Linked DNA regions of Zea mays. Each later gene encodes a partner of the first gene's protein in a complex. Links are inferred from orthologs where the notes say so. Each region holds a gene or a part of one and is shown on either strand. Other genes may lie near its edges.

The links. The genes of interacting proteins can lie anywhere in the genome.
Region 2: Mitotic spindle checkpoint protein MAD1 (region 1) and uncharacterized protein LOC100194273 share a complex: the UniProt entries of both Arabidopsis thaliana proteins name them as parts of the mitotic checkpoint complex. The link is inferred for Zea mays from reciprocal best matches to the Arabidopsis thaliana genes MAD1 and AT2G20635.
Region 3: Mitotic spindle checkpoint protein MAD1 (region 1) and Mitotic spindle checkpoint protein BUBR1 share a complex: the UniProt entries of both Arabidopsis thaliana proteins name them as parts of the mitotic checkpoint complex. The link is inferred for Zea mays from reciprocal best matches to the Arabidopsis thaliana genes MAD1 and BUBR1.

Annotation. Positions count from the first base shown.
Region 1 is NC_050098.1:177,131,512-177,137,070, forward strand, and holds part of Mitotic spindle checkpoint protein MAD1, read right to left. Parts: intron 2,908-5,559; coding exon 2,745-2,907; intron 2,242-2,744; exon of another isoform or gene 2,198-2,241; coding exon of another isoform or gene 1,076-2,197; intron 1,003-1,075; coding exon of another isoform or gene 747-1,002; intron 674-746; coding exon of another isoform or gene 1-673. Other genes in the region: uncharacterized protein, read left to right, coding at 1-673, 747-1,002, 1,076-2,197. UniProt on the Arabidopsis thaliana protein: Required for the execution of the mitotic checkpoint which monitors the process of kinetochore-spindle attachment and delays the onset of anaphase when this process is not complete.
Region 2 is NC_050102.1:160,976,201-160,980,143, forward strand, and holds the start of uncharacterized protein LOC100194273, read left to right. Parts: upstream 1-1,143; 5' UTR 1,144-1,295; coding exon 1,296-1,420; intron 1,421-3,943. UniProt on the Arabidopsis thaliana protein: Serine/threonine-protein kinase that performs 2 crucial functions during mitosis: it is essential for spindle-assembly checkpoint signaling and for correct chromosome alignment. Has a key role in the assembly of checkpoint proteins at the kinetochore.
Region 3 is NC_050100.1:126,593,402-126,597,654, reverse strand, and holds the start of Mitotic spindle checkpoint protein BUBR1, read left to right. Parts: upstream 1-1,453; 5' UTR 1,454-1,507; coding exon 1,508-1,722; intron 1,723-1,903; coding exon 1,904-1,963; intron 1,964-2,081; coding exon 2,082-2,226; intron 2,227-2,330; coding exon 2,331-2,488; intron 2,489-3,022; coding exon 3,023-3,101; intron 3,102-3,181; coding exon of another isoform or gene 3,182-3,184; coding exon 3,185-3,251; intron 3,252-3,328; coding exon 3,329-3,380; intron 3,381-3,493; coding exon 3,494-3,650; intron 3,651-3,760; coding exon 3,761-3,849; intron 3,850-3,962; coding exon 3,963-4,043; intron 4,044-4,132; coding exon 4,133-4,193; 3' UTR 4,194-4,253. UniProt on the Arabidopsis thaliana protein: Essential component of the mitotic checkpoint. Required for normal mitosis progression. The mitotic checkpoint delays anaphase until all chromosomes are properly attached to the mitotic spindle.

The sequences.
Region 1 (5,559 bases):
GTTCTTCAAGCAAAAGAAAGCGTGCGGATGAAAAAGAAGATGATGATGTGCAAGTCGTCCATGAGGTGCCTGTAGATATCCAAGATGGTGGTGCAGACGCAGACAGTGGTGACGAAGATGGAGCTGCGGCTACTGGTACGAAACATCCACTTCTAGATGAAATTAATATTATTGGTGTTCCGAGTGGAAAAAATGTTGGTGGAACAAAGGAGTGGCAGTGTAAACATTGCAAGAAATCGTACAAAGGAAGTTTAACTAGAGTTCGTGTTCATTTGCTTGGTCCATTACCTGGTAAAAAAGCACAAATTGCACGTTGTATGTCATTGCAAAACGATCCCAACAAGAGCAAAGCTTTGCGGGAAAAGGTGAAAGAAGCTGATAGTAAAGGATTTCATATGAGATCAACATCAGGGACGACCACTCCGAATCCGTTGACAAAATCGTTTGGAGTAGCCCAAAGGGAGTCTGTCGATATGGAAATTACCAAATTTTTATGTGCCAACGGTATTCCATTCAATGTGTTGAGGAGCCCTCAATTTTCACAAATGATAATGGCAATAAAAAATGGTCCAAAAGATTATAAAGGTCCGTCGAGTGAAAAGGCAAGGACAACTCTCCTAGATGCATGCAAGAGAAGTGTGGAGACCGACTTAGCACCACTTAAAAGTACATGGTAAGTTCTTAATTTTATTGTCTTTTCATTGTATGATTTTTTCTCCAAAAACTCACTTTTAATCATGCATTAGGTTGACACAAGGTGTTTCGGTTGTGTCCGATGGATGGACAGATATAAAAAACAAGCCCCTAATCAATGTGATTGCGTCGAACAGTCGAGGTTCATGTTTCTTATATGCAGAAGATTTCTCTGGAGTTGAAAAAACCGGTGAAGCTATTGCACAATATCTCTTGAAGGCTATTGATGAAATTGGACCAGGAAATGTCCTTCAAGTGGTAACGGACAATGCTGCTAATTGCAAAGCAGCTGGAAAAGAAATTGAAAAAGTAAGTCACATATTTTGTCCTTCAAGTGTTTTTTATCTTGGATTTTCCCTAATCATATTTTGTTTGATTACAGGTGCATAAGCACATTTTTTGGGCCCCATGCGTTGTTCACACGCTAAACCTTATATTCAAGGATTTTGCTGTGAAATTTCCATGGATGCTTGACACATATAAGACTGGAAAAGCAATTGTCAAGTTTTTTCAGAATCATTGCCATTGTTTGGCAATGTTTAGAACCAACTCTCGTTTGGACCTACTTAAGGTGAAAAAAACTCGATTTGCTTCACATTACATATTGCTTCAAAGACTCATAACATGTAGAGAAGCACTTGCCACCACAGTAGTCACAAGGCAGTGGAAAGATTGGGTAAATACTTGCACTAATGATGTGAAGCACCAAGCAAGGGTCATTGTCCTAACAATAAATGATGACAGCTTTTGGATGGAGGCTGAAAATATAATTGCTATCACAGAGCCAATATACTCCGTATTAAGGTTTAGTGATGGAGAAGGTCCAAAGATGGGAGAAATCTACGAGAGAATGGATTGCATGGTTGGTGAAATAAAAGATATAATGACAAAAGATGATAACCCGCATAAAGATGATTTTGTTGAGGTTGAAAGTATCGTTATGCGCCGTTGGGAGAAGATGAATCTTCCCCTTCATTGCTTAGCATATGCCTTATGCCCAAAATTTTATCATCAACAATACCTCAACACCCCAGCTCCTGGTGGCACCATAAGGCAAGCTCCTAATACAGATAAGGAGGTTATGACTAATGTGCTTGAAGCTTTTAGTAAAATTGCAGATTCTCCAAGGGAACAACAAGTTTTGAGGGAGCAATTTAATGCTTTTATTATGAAGAAGGGAATGTTTGCGCTGCCACCCGTTCAATTGGATGCATTTACCATGGAGCCGATTGAATGGTGGGTAAGTTATGGTTCTGAGACTCCAGATTTAGCTGAGGTTGCAAAAAAAGTTTTATCTCAACCCATCAGCAGTTCATCGGCCGAGAGAATTTGGAGCACATTCAGCCATATCCATAACACCAAGCGCAATAGGATGAACACTACCACTGCAGATAAATTAGTCTTCATTCACTCCAATTTGCGACTTTTGTCAAGATCAACAGATGGCTACAAACATGGCGCACATGCTAAATGGGACATTGATCCAGAAGACTCTTCTATCTAAGCTTTGCAAGAAAGTGATTATCGTTACCGTTATATATATATATATATATATATATATATATATATATATATATATATATATATATAAATAAGCTAAGACACTATGACTTATCATTATCGGGATCCCATCATTATCAATTATATATACATATATTATATATTATGTACGTGTCATTGGTTGTTTCAATTATGCATCGTTCCATGTTCCATTACAATCGTTCCCTAACTGCGTTCCTAAATCGTTGGGAACACGTTCCACGCATCGAATGAACGTGGATCAGCTGTATACCCCTCAACGTTCCATGTTGCTTTAACAGACGTACCGCGTTCCTCGTTCCCGTTCCTCGTTCCCAACGTTCCGGGAACCTTGTCACTAAGGGTTATCTTGTAACTTTTGTTATATTAAGCAGATACTCCAAACACAAACCCCTTAGCAAATACAATGTAGACTACAGTAAGCAGAAGCAGTAAACAAGTTTTTACATATGAAAATAAATTAAAATAGAAATCCACAGGATCATAAAAATTACAAATAATGTAGCTCGTACCAGTTTGTCCTTTCAGTTCTTCAACTGCTTGCAGCCTCTCTTTTGTTTTCTTTAGCTCAGCTTGCAGTACTTCTATTGTCTGCTTGGCTTCATTGTCGACTCCAAGAGTATTCATCATGCGCAGTACTTTTGTGCTTGAAGCAGAGTAATCCCCATGACCTAACTGTCAAATATAACAAGAACTTTGAAGCTAGCAGAAGCATGGCACACAAGAGAAATGTTGCAAGTTACTCCCTCTGTTCCAAATTATAAAATCAATGTATCTAGCAATGATTTCAAGTCGCCTGGTCGCCTGGTCACCTGGTCGAACACTGGGGACGACCAGGCGACTAGTCGCGATTAGGCGACGACCAGGGCGATTAGTCGACCCCTAGTCGGTCCTAGTCGGTCCCTGATCGTCCTAGACCTTTTAGACTGGTATTTATACTTATATAGGTATAAACAGCAGGATATACAAAATAACAGGCAGAGGTACAAGTCACTATCAGCAGTCGGCTTAGGATTAGAGCAGCAACAGCCATTAGTGTTTGATCACTGGTGGGAGACACAGACAGAACAGAACTACAGAGATGGAGGGAGGGAGCAGGGGGAACCTTGAGATGACGAACTCATCTTGTCACTGGTGCTGGAGACGCTGGTGATCTGGAGCAGCCGTCGCCCACCGGTGATCTGGACTCTAGAGTTATGAACTGGAGCTGTGGAGCAGGCGAGCAGGCAAAGGGGCACATGTGACTGGAGCAGGCGAGCAGCTGCCGGTGATCGGGAGTTCAGGCAGAGGGGATCACTAGTGCTGGAGAGTGGAGACGCCGGTGATCTGGACCTCTGGAGCAGCCGCCCGACAGAGGGATACATGCAGGGTTTAGGCAGCCTTAGGGTTTTAGCAGAGGAGAGGAGAGGCGGAACTTATGTTCTTGTAGATGAGCGAAAACATTGGTCCTGTAGCCCAACACAAAAATCCTAGCACCAACGACCAGAAACTGGAAAAACGGACGACTAATCGCCCTTATCGTCAACTAATCGGACGATCGGGACGACCAGGCTCCCTAATCGAGTCGTCCGGCTAATCGGCTGTTAACAGGCGACCAGCCCGACTAGAAAAAGTAAGCTTCTTATAATTTGGAACAGAGGGAATAAATTAGTAGCTTTCACATAGTATATATCAGAAGGACAGGCCTGGCGCAGTGGTGAGATGCCTCCCCACTGAGCCAAAAGTCTTGAGTTTGACACCGGCTCTCTGCAAAAATGCAGAGGTAAGGCTTGCCTCGGTTATTCCTTCCCCGGACCTCACTCGAGCGCACTCAACTAACTGTATTTAGGGCCCCTTTGGAACACAGGAATGTGAAAACACAGGAATAGGAAAAACAATGGATTAGAGTTGGCTATGAATTGCAATCCTACAGGAACTGCGAATGCAGGAAAATTTTCCACCTGCCTTTGGATGGTGTGCAGGAATTTGAATACAGAGATAAGGCCTCCTTTGGAACAAAGAAAAAGTGGAGGAATTTTGAAGGATTAAAACTCTATGGAAAAATTTTCTATGTGGTCCTTTGGAACAAAGGATTGAATTGCTACAAATCCTATAAAATTCCTATGGAATTGAGCATTGTAGTGAGATTTTGTAGGATTTTTAACATGAGGTCCAACCCTTAGTGACAGGGAACGGGGAACGATGGCGCGTTCCGCGTTCCCGGAATTTCGTCCCGAAACGAGGAACGGGAACGAAGGGGAACACTACAAGAAACGCTCGCGGAACGCCGTTTATAGAAGGTAGGAACGCTTACCTTAGGAAGTCGCCCCGCCGTGCTTGGCCGCCGCGCCGCCGCGCTTGGCCGTCGCGCTGGGACGACGCTCTGGGACGTTGCGGGCGTTGCCGGCCGCCGCGCTTGGCCGCCGCGCTTGGCCGCCGCGCTGGGGCGATGCGGGCGTTGTCCGGCCGCCGCGCTGGGACGCTGCCGTCGCCGCCGCGCAGTGGGGAAGACCGGATCACCGGAAGAGGCGGAGGAATCGCGCAGTGGGTAGAAGAGGCAGAGGAATCGCGCAGAGGAATCGCGTGGTGGGGAAGAGGAAGAGGAATCGCGCAGTGGGGAAGACTGGAAGAGGAAGAGCGCAGTGGGGAAGAGAAATCGCGCAGTGGAGGAGGTCGCGCCGTCGCGGTGCAGTGGAGGAGTCGCGCACTCGCGCTCGCAGTGGAGGAGTCGCGCATTCGCGCTCGCAGTGGAGGAGATCCGTCGGTCCGTCCAAGGTCGCAGGAAGCTGAGGGGTTAGGCATGGAGCGCGTAAGAAGAGGAAGGGATTATCCATGTCTGGAGCGCGTTAAGTGATTAGGCAGGGAGCCGACCGCGTACTGCCTGCTATTTAAATAGAACTCCATCCACTGATGCACAGCAGTACAGCACCACAACCCAACTCAAACCTCAACGTAGACATGGTTTTCGGTTCTTCAAGCAAAAGAAAGCGTGCGGATGAAAAAGAAGATGATGATGTGCAAGTCGTCCATGAGGTGCCTGTAGATATCCAAGATGGTGGTGCAGACGCAGACAGTGGTGACGAAGATGGAGCTGCGGCTACTGGTACGAAACATCCACTTCTAGATGAAATTAATATTATTGGTGTTCCGAGTGGAAAAAATGTTGGTGGAACAAAGGAGTGGCAGTGTAAACATTGCAAGAAATCGTACAAAGGAAGTTTAACTAGAGTTCGTGTTCATTTGCTTGGTCCATTACCTGGTAAAAAAGCACAAATTGCACGTTGTATGTCATTGCAAAACGATCCCAACAAGAGCAAAGCTTTGCGGGAAAAGGTGAAAGAAGCTGAT
Region 2 (3,943 bases), on another chromosome or scaffold:
CATTCCCTAGCGGTTGACTCCCCAATTTGAATGTACTCGTCTACCGCATCAGTAGGTAACCCATAACCAAGTATCCGCATTGCCGCACATACTTTTTGTAGGGGCCCGAGTCCTAGCATGCCTGTTGCGTCCACCCGTTGCGTAAAGTAACTATCCTGCTGTTGCAGTCCTTCCATAATGCGGATGAACAACGGCCTACTCATGCCGAACCTATAAAATTTAATAGGTTCATTGTGAATACAATGATAATGTCATAACATATTACAATAATTTGAAGTGCGTACCTTCTACGAAACACGTGGGTGGATACACTGGGTTCGGGCCGAAGTAGTGATGCTGGATGAGATTTTCTCCAGCAAAATGATCCCTGTGAATGATGCGGCGAGGTATACCGGAACATCGTCGGAGATGGCGTTTAGCCTCAATGTTGAGGGTAAGAAGATTGACAAGCAAAAGTGTGTCGTCCTCACTATCACTCGAATCGGAATCATCTTCCCTATGCCAGTGAGACATACCGAACAATGGCTAACTTGCTGGAGTTGTGTTCGTTGTGGCTACATATGCGAAGAGAAAGTATGCATATATATAGGCGAGATCAATGTGGCTTCAGGGGAAAGCTCGTGGCTTTCGTTGGAAGCCAACCGTGGCTTCCTGCGTACGAATGGTCGGTGTCTGCTTCCAACGTAAGCTTGGTTCAATTTTTTACATCGCAATGTTTCTCAATAATTATGACGACGCACAATTGTGAAGTTTTGTATGCAATTTCGAAATAAATTTTAACTCAAATGTTTGTTTTGTATATTATGCATAATTTGTAAAAAAATAAATATATTTTTTTTATAAATTTATAACATCGCAACATGCCGGACGTGTGAAAAGGAAAAAAGGAAAAAGAAAATGAATTTGGTTATGTTAGTTATATGGAAATGTATATTTAATGAGTAGAGGGATATATATATGAGAATTTTTAGGGAGAATAGTTGCGGGATAAGTGAATATAGGAGAGTGAATCTTGCTGACGTGACTATATAGTAACATTTAGGGGAAAAAATTTAAAGGACACTACTGCATACAGTCTAAAGTAGTAGGGGAAATATTTGGGTCCTGACGAGTGGGCACTGGCCACTTAGCTGCGGGGCGATTCTTTTTCAAATTTTTTGGGTGCCAAATATTTGCCCTCCAGTGCTGTCCACGGCTCAGCCTCACACACGCGCGAGAGCAAATTGCAGAGCTGCTCGTCGCCGGCGATCGCCGCAGGGTTCGTCCGAGAGGGGAGAGGCTCTCTGTATCGGGGCATGGTGATCCTGGACCGCACTCCGGCCGCGGCGCAGGGGGCCGCCTGTAGCCCGCTCCCGAAGTCGCCTAGGTTTTCGTGGGAGGTGGCCTCGCCGCCCTCGGACCCCATCCTCCCGTACCTCAGGTAATCTCGAATCTACCTCGAGATATGCCTCTGTTACTTGGATTCATTTAGCGTGTGCGAATCCGTGTGGGAGCTCGCTTAGTGCACGGGTGCGGTGCGTCCGTGCGTGTGCTTGTGCGTGTCTGAAGGTTCCGCCGTTTGATTGAATGTAAAGCATGTGCAATTTGGACGTTTAGTTTAGCTTGCGCGGCTCTACCTCCGCGATTCAGGGTCTGGTTACTCATGCCTACCAGTACCCCTGTGGGATTGAACTGGGATGCACTAGTATATGTTGATTTCTTATTCAAATTCTTGCGAGGCTGCCATGTGTGAGACCTTGATTTCGGTCTTAATTAGGCTGCTTATAGGTCTGATTTTCCTCTTCTAAAAATCCATGTACATAATGGAATGAGCTTAGACATGTGTTTGGGTCAAGGATAACCAAACCGTTTTTGGAGAAAACTGCTACCCACGGGTAATGGGTAAACCGGTGAAAACCGACAAAATCAACCGGTTTGCCCATGTCAAATTTGAACAAATTCAAAATGGTTTTACGGCGAAAAACCGGCGGTAAACCACCCAATGCCGCTGGTAAACCACCCATATGAATCATTTTTTTGTTTTCAGGGAAAAATGGAAAATTTTGGCAGAGTTCATTTGTAATTTGCTCAATTCACGTTGCATAGTAAATACTAACTGACTCACACAACATATGTTCACCAAAATGATATTCAACATACATATGCAACCACAAACTTCAATTCTCATGCAACAAACAACCATCGGATGGCACAATACTCAAATACAATTATACAAGTTCTTTTAGAGTTCTCCCACGAGGCCACGATACATATGTCTACTTGTTTCACAATACTCTTTATTCAGCTCGAGTCATAGTATTCAGGCATGTTGGAAGGATCCTGGTATGGGCCCATTCCGTATACGTAGTCCTATACAATGATATGAGATACATTAGCGATAAAACAAGAACGATAAATAAATACCTATTGTCGAAGCAAAAATAACACACCGATCTGCTTGTAGTTACATATACATGCATCTCGACAACAACATAGAATGGTCGAAACGGGTACCACCCCCTATGTGCGAGATGTCCCTCTTCTTCCCCCTTCGATTTGATGATCTTTTTTATGTGCGAGATGCTCCTTCAAACGTGTACCACCCCCTCCGCTCTTAGTTTCTCTACAATATTTTCTCTTGAAACCCGTGCTAACCTTCTCTCCATGCTCCTAGACAATGTCCGACATGCCTCCTATAAATAAGAAGACATAATATCATGTAACAAGAGTAGAATAAAAACATATAACTTGTAGCAAATGGCATATTAACATAAAACATCGAAACATATTTACTAACAAAAACATAAACCATCTGACAATAACTAAATATTAACATGACACAAGCAAATGAGTTAGGTCTTAGCATAGAACTATGTATTAACACGAACAAATGGACCTACACACTACACATATATTAACAATACTAACATATATATAACTAAATACTAACATATATAACTATATATTAATAGTACTAATATATAACTAGTAGGCTACAATACACCTAACTTTTGATGATGTAAAAAAAATCTAAAACCCTAAACATCACAAAACCAAATCTGGGCACTAAATGATTAAACTAGAACTCAATCATGTCATTAAATCCGGTTTTCCGGTGAAAACAGGCGGTGTCGGGTGTGGTAATTAGGCGTACTCAGATTACACCCCTAAAACACACTTAACCACTAAAAACACCATCAAGGTACGAAGGATCGTAAGCCGCGCTTCGCCCAAGGCCCCCCTCAGGGGTCTCCACAGACTCCGCCTCGCCCGAGCCTGTCCTCGGACGGGGTGTGTTCTCGAGAGAATCCTCGTCCCGGTCGAGGTCCCCTCACCCCAGAACGACAGTCTCCGCCTCGCCCGAGCCCACCTCGGGTAAGGGAGACAAAACCCAGGGCGAGACTCAGCTGAAGTCTGCCGGGGACAACAACATTCAATGCGCATACCTAACCCACATAGGGCTGCAGGTGTGCAGGAGTAACAAGACCACAGTCTAGTCAAAGATTCACCAACTATGATTACGCATGCGACCACTGTTCCTGTACGCCGTCTGCCAACTCCTGACGGGACATACAATACGACAAGGGTACAGGCTAGCCCTCGGGCGTAAACTTCGTTTCGCCCGAAGTAGAACTCGGCCTCGGGATAAACTCGGCTCGCTCGAGCCCGGTCTCGGCTACCTACTCCCCATGAACCCCGCAGGAGGCCACTCCTTCAACTGTGGCACACGTTTTCGAATCTCAGAATGGGCTCAGTCGCGATCTCGGACGGACTACCACCTCGCCCGAGCTCGGCTCTGACCTCGATATCTGCAACGGGAAGGCGCCCAACGTCATCAGACACTGCAGAACTGACACACTACTCGGGATGAAAACGGTTTCGGAATTTTTCGGTATTCTGGAAACCGATTTCGAAATTTTTCGATCGGATTCACCGGTAACAGTATTTTTTCAAAAACGGAATC
Region 3 (4,253 bases), on another chromosome or scaffold:
GTATATATGTATATACGTTTTTTAAAATAAAAAATATAATCGTGTCGGGTTGGGCCAATACTATGGGCTGAGGCTACAACTCAAGCACATCACGGCGTTCTTGGCTCTTGTAAGCATTAGGTCGTTTCTGAGACCACATTGGCGCAATGGACTCCATGGTGTTTGAGGTTGCTGAATTGGATGGAGCAACAATGATGTGCCACACTAACAGTAAAATGAAAGGTTATTTGTTGGTTCTAAACGTTAGTAATTGCTACGAAGTAGCATAATTTATATGGAACACATCCAGTTTTTATTGATGCCTGACTTTAGCAACCACTCTATATTTTGATCTATCTTTTTTATAAGTTTGAGTTCATGTGACTTATTTTAGAAACTTGAGCTTACAAACTTTCTCTTATTTGGTCTCTGTATATAGGAATTATGTCATTCTATAATCTATGTTCGTTCAGTCAGTCGTTATGAACTCTCTTATAATCGCTCATTTCATTGGTTGTGTTGTACCAAGACATACTGGATGGAGTAAACAATAACATCAGTTAGCCAAATCAAAAAAACATTATACGGAGAGCAGAGACAAATAATAAAAAATCTTGATATTTTTATGGATTTACGTGGGTATTGTTGTAAGCCGTCGCAACGCACGGGTAACCGACTAGTATTAGTAATAATTGAGTTATATCTATGAATTTTAAGCCTTCTCACGTTGAGCGCAACAAAATATTTAATGAATAATTAGCCAACCTACTTATTCAAAAATAATTACTATTGTATTGTATCATAAGTAGTATTGTGCAAATTAAAGAATGATCCAAATTTTGTGTCGGGTGTGGGTCACCCATGGTTGAAATAGAAACCTGCATAACACTCGTGAAACTTTGAGTCGAGTCTGGGGTGCACTCACGGGTTAAAATTTTTACCTGTACCCGCACCCGTCGGGTTGGGTACGTGTCGAGTTTCGGGTTTGCGGGTTAAATTGCCATCCCTACATAAAAGTGTAGGGGGGAGGAAAGACATGAGTATGCTCACATCCGATCGTTTTGATGGAGCAGAGACATCTCAATTATTTATGATATATTTTTATACGGAGACTATAAGAGTCGCTTTACTCTCTTTCATTAGAAACCAAACATCTACAAAAAATAGAACTGGATTGGTTCCATTCGCATCCACTCTTTTACCAAACACATCCTAATATATGTACTTGGTGGAGTAATTTAGTCCTCGTTTCATGGTTGCTTTTTTTTTTTTTTGCTAAAATTTACGCTTCTCATGGCATACAGCCAGTTGAATTTGTTCCAGCCAAGCAAAACATAGCTGGGCTATTTTGAGTACAAACCGGCCCAAATAAAACATGGGATTAACTAAAAGCCTACGGCCCAAACTTTTCGCAAAGCTTCACCGTTTAAAACCGAAACCTGACCTGCGGGCTGCAGCAGCGTCCGCTCCAAAACGCAACGGTCGAATCTCCTCGAATTCGAATTGCAGCCGGTGCCACCCACCTCACATGGCGGCGGCGGAAGAGATGATGGCGGTGCTGGACAAGGAGACGCTGGCGCTGATGGGTCTGGGCAACGCCGCCGCCGCGGTGGTTGCCGAGTGCGAGAAGTTCAAGGAGAACGCGAGGCCGCTCAAGCGCGGGCGCGACGTGTCCAAACTCAACCACGCGCTCAAGGCACACGCCGATCCCGCCCAGCGCGCCACTCTTCTCGAAGCCCGAAAGTACGTTTCCTTCTCCAGTCTTTCGCCCAGCAATGGGGGAAAAGGAGTTGTGGTTTTGTAACTTTTGTTTGCTCTGGATTTCTTTTTCTTGGGCCTGGGTCTGTGGGGAGGAGACAAGTTGCTGCAGTAATGCAAATATATATCATGTGTGTTCATCGTTCGGTTCATTTGCTTGATCCAGGAAGCTGATTGAGGCAATCTACGAGTACCAAGGCGAGGATCCGCTCCAACCGTGGCTGGAGTAAGTTTTTCTCATAGCCCCTTTAACTCGCCTTTTTCGATTTCTTGGTTCGTGCCAGGACTGGTAGCTGTTCTAGCAGATAGATTGTTCATTTCTTCTCTGATTCGTCCGCGTGCAGCTGCATCAAGTGGGTGCAGGAGTATTTTCCGACCGGCGGCGAGTGCTCAGGGTTGGTGGTGTTGTACGAGCAGTGCGTGCGGACCTTATTGGACGACGAGCGCTACAAGGACGACCTCCGCTTCCTCAAAGTGTGGCTGGAATACGTGAGTGATGCTTTGCCAGCTTGATTGTTTTTCTCTGTAGTTTGTGTCAGTGCAGTGGAGGCACCTCATATATCATTCCGCTGCCGATCTTGTCCTTTTTGCAGGCGGGGAACTGTGCTGATGCTGAGGTAATATACAGGTTCCTGGAGGCCAACCAGATTGGGCAGGGCCATGCGATCTACTACATGTCTTACGCATCGTTGCTGGAGTCAAAGAACAAGTTGAGGAAAGCTAATGAGATCTTTGACCTTGGTATAGCTAGGTGAGATTTTCTTTAGATCAGCACGTTTGTTCATATAAAGCTCCTGAGTTTTAAATTGTTAGGTAGATCATGCTGTTGTACTATATATCCGATCCAAAAATTGTGTCCTATAATGGACATGGAGTACATATATGCTCCTGTGTTTGATTTTCGTACATAACAAGAGTCAATGATGGTACAAAAATGAGGCTGATGTTATACTGAATCAGTTTTCCTTCTTTGTTTTATTTTCATGATCACTTCTAATTTGATACATTCTAACGAATTAGAAATAAAAAGTTCCTTTTAGTTTCTAGTTCGCAAACGTAAAATGAAAAAAAAATCTCAGTCTTCTACTTCCTATTCTTTAAGATTTGACACTCCTTTGACTAGTTATGCCACTATCTTCTTGTAAATGATACAACACTCGGAATTGTTTTACTTATCATGGTTTCTGCTTACCTCTTTTGTTATGGTTAGTTGTGCATTGGTTTTAATACTTGATTAATCCATGTGAATGTATGAAGTTTCTTATATTCGATTTTTTATTGTCAGAAAAGCGAAGCCTCTGGAGAAGTTGGAAGCTGTATACAGGGCATTTCTTCGAAGATCAATCAAAAAGAGGGAACAAGAGGTTTGCTATTCAAATTACAGCAGTGTTTATTTATCTTGAAGCCAATACCTCAGTTGAATGACTTCTTTCTTTTCCTGTAGCAGGATGATACAGTAGATGATGATCTGCCAAAACGCAGTTTCGGGAATAACTTGAAACGAGATGAAAACAGTAAGCTTGTTCAGTTTTACTCTGATTTAGCATGAACTTCGAGTGGCTGCAACCTAATACATATGCAAACATGGCAGGAAATCAGCAAGCAGGGAACTCCCACCTGGGGAGACCAAGGGCACTGCAGAGGTCAGTACCTGTATGATGTGACAGATGTAAAATATCCATCTAAACCTGGAGTTTTTTTTCCTCATCATGTCACTGATTATGCCTTTGCACACTTGCGGAATCGATGCTAACAGGCCGCTTTCAGTTTACAAAGATGAAAGTCCATTACCAAATCAGGGCCTTGACAGAGTGAGGAGCAAAGAAAATAACACAAGTTGGCGCGTCCTCGGAACACGAGCAGAACGGAACAAGGAAAATAACATGATGCCTGCTAAATGGACGTCTCACAAGGTACTTTTGCCATGCCATTTAGGATTCTCTGAAGTGGCCCATGTGAGACTTGCACCGAGGACAACTATTCAGTAACGAACTTGTGGTAACACTGCATTGTTGTTGTACAGATTCCACAGAAGTTAGGAGCAAGAGGAGCGGTTCAATCAACCCGAGCCAGTTGTTCCATTGAAGTCTTCGTCGAGGAAGACTGCACACAGTATGTTATTTAACATGCTAGTGTTACTCTTTTCTTTTTTGAGATTGTTCAAAGTTACTACAAAAACATATATGTCTAAATAGACTCTTTTTTTCCCCTTTGGATTGCTGTAGGGAACCTGCTCGGCCGGTGCCAAAGAGCCCAAATCCTTCTGTTCTGAAGCTCAGGCAAACAACAAGCAAAAGCCTTAAGAAGTAAGTACAGCATAGCTCTTGTAGCTTCGGGTATTTGGGAAACTATTGTCAGCAGTTCCCTAACCTCTGCGGTCTTTTCTTTGGAGCAGGGAGACTGAATTGCTCAAGGAGAACCCGCTGCGCAACTTCCCCCTGAGCAGGCTTAGGTAATCAGCATCTTGCTGGTTCTGAGAAACATCTCGTACGTTATGATTTGGTCGTATGTATGGT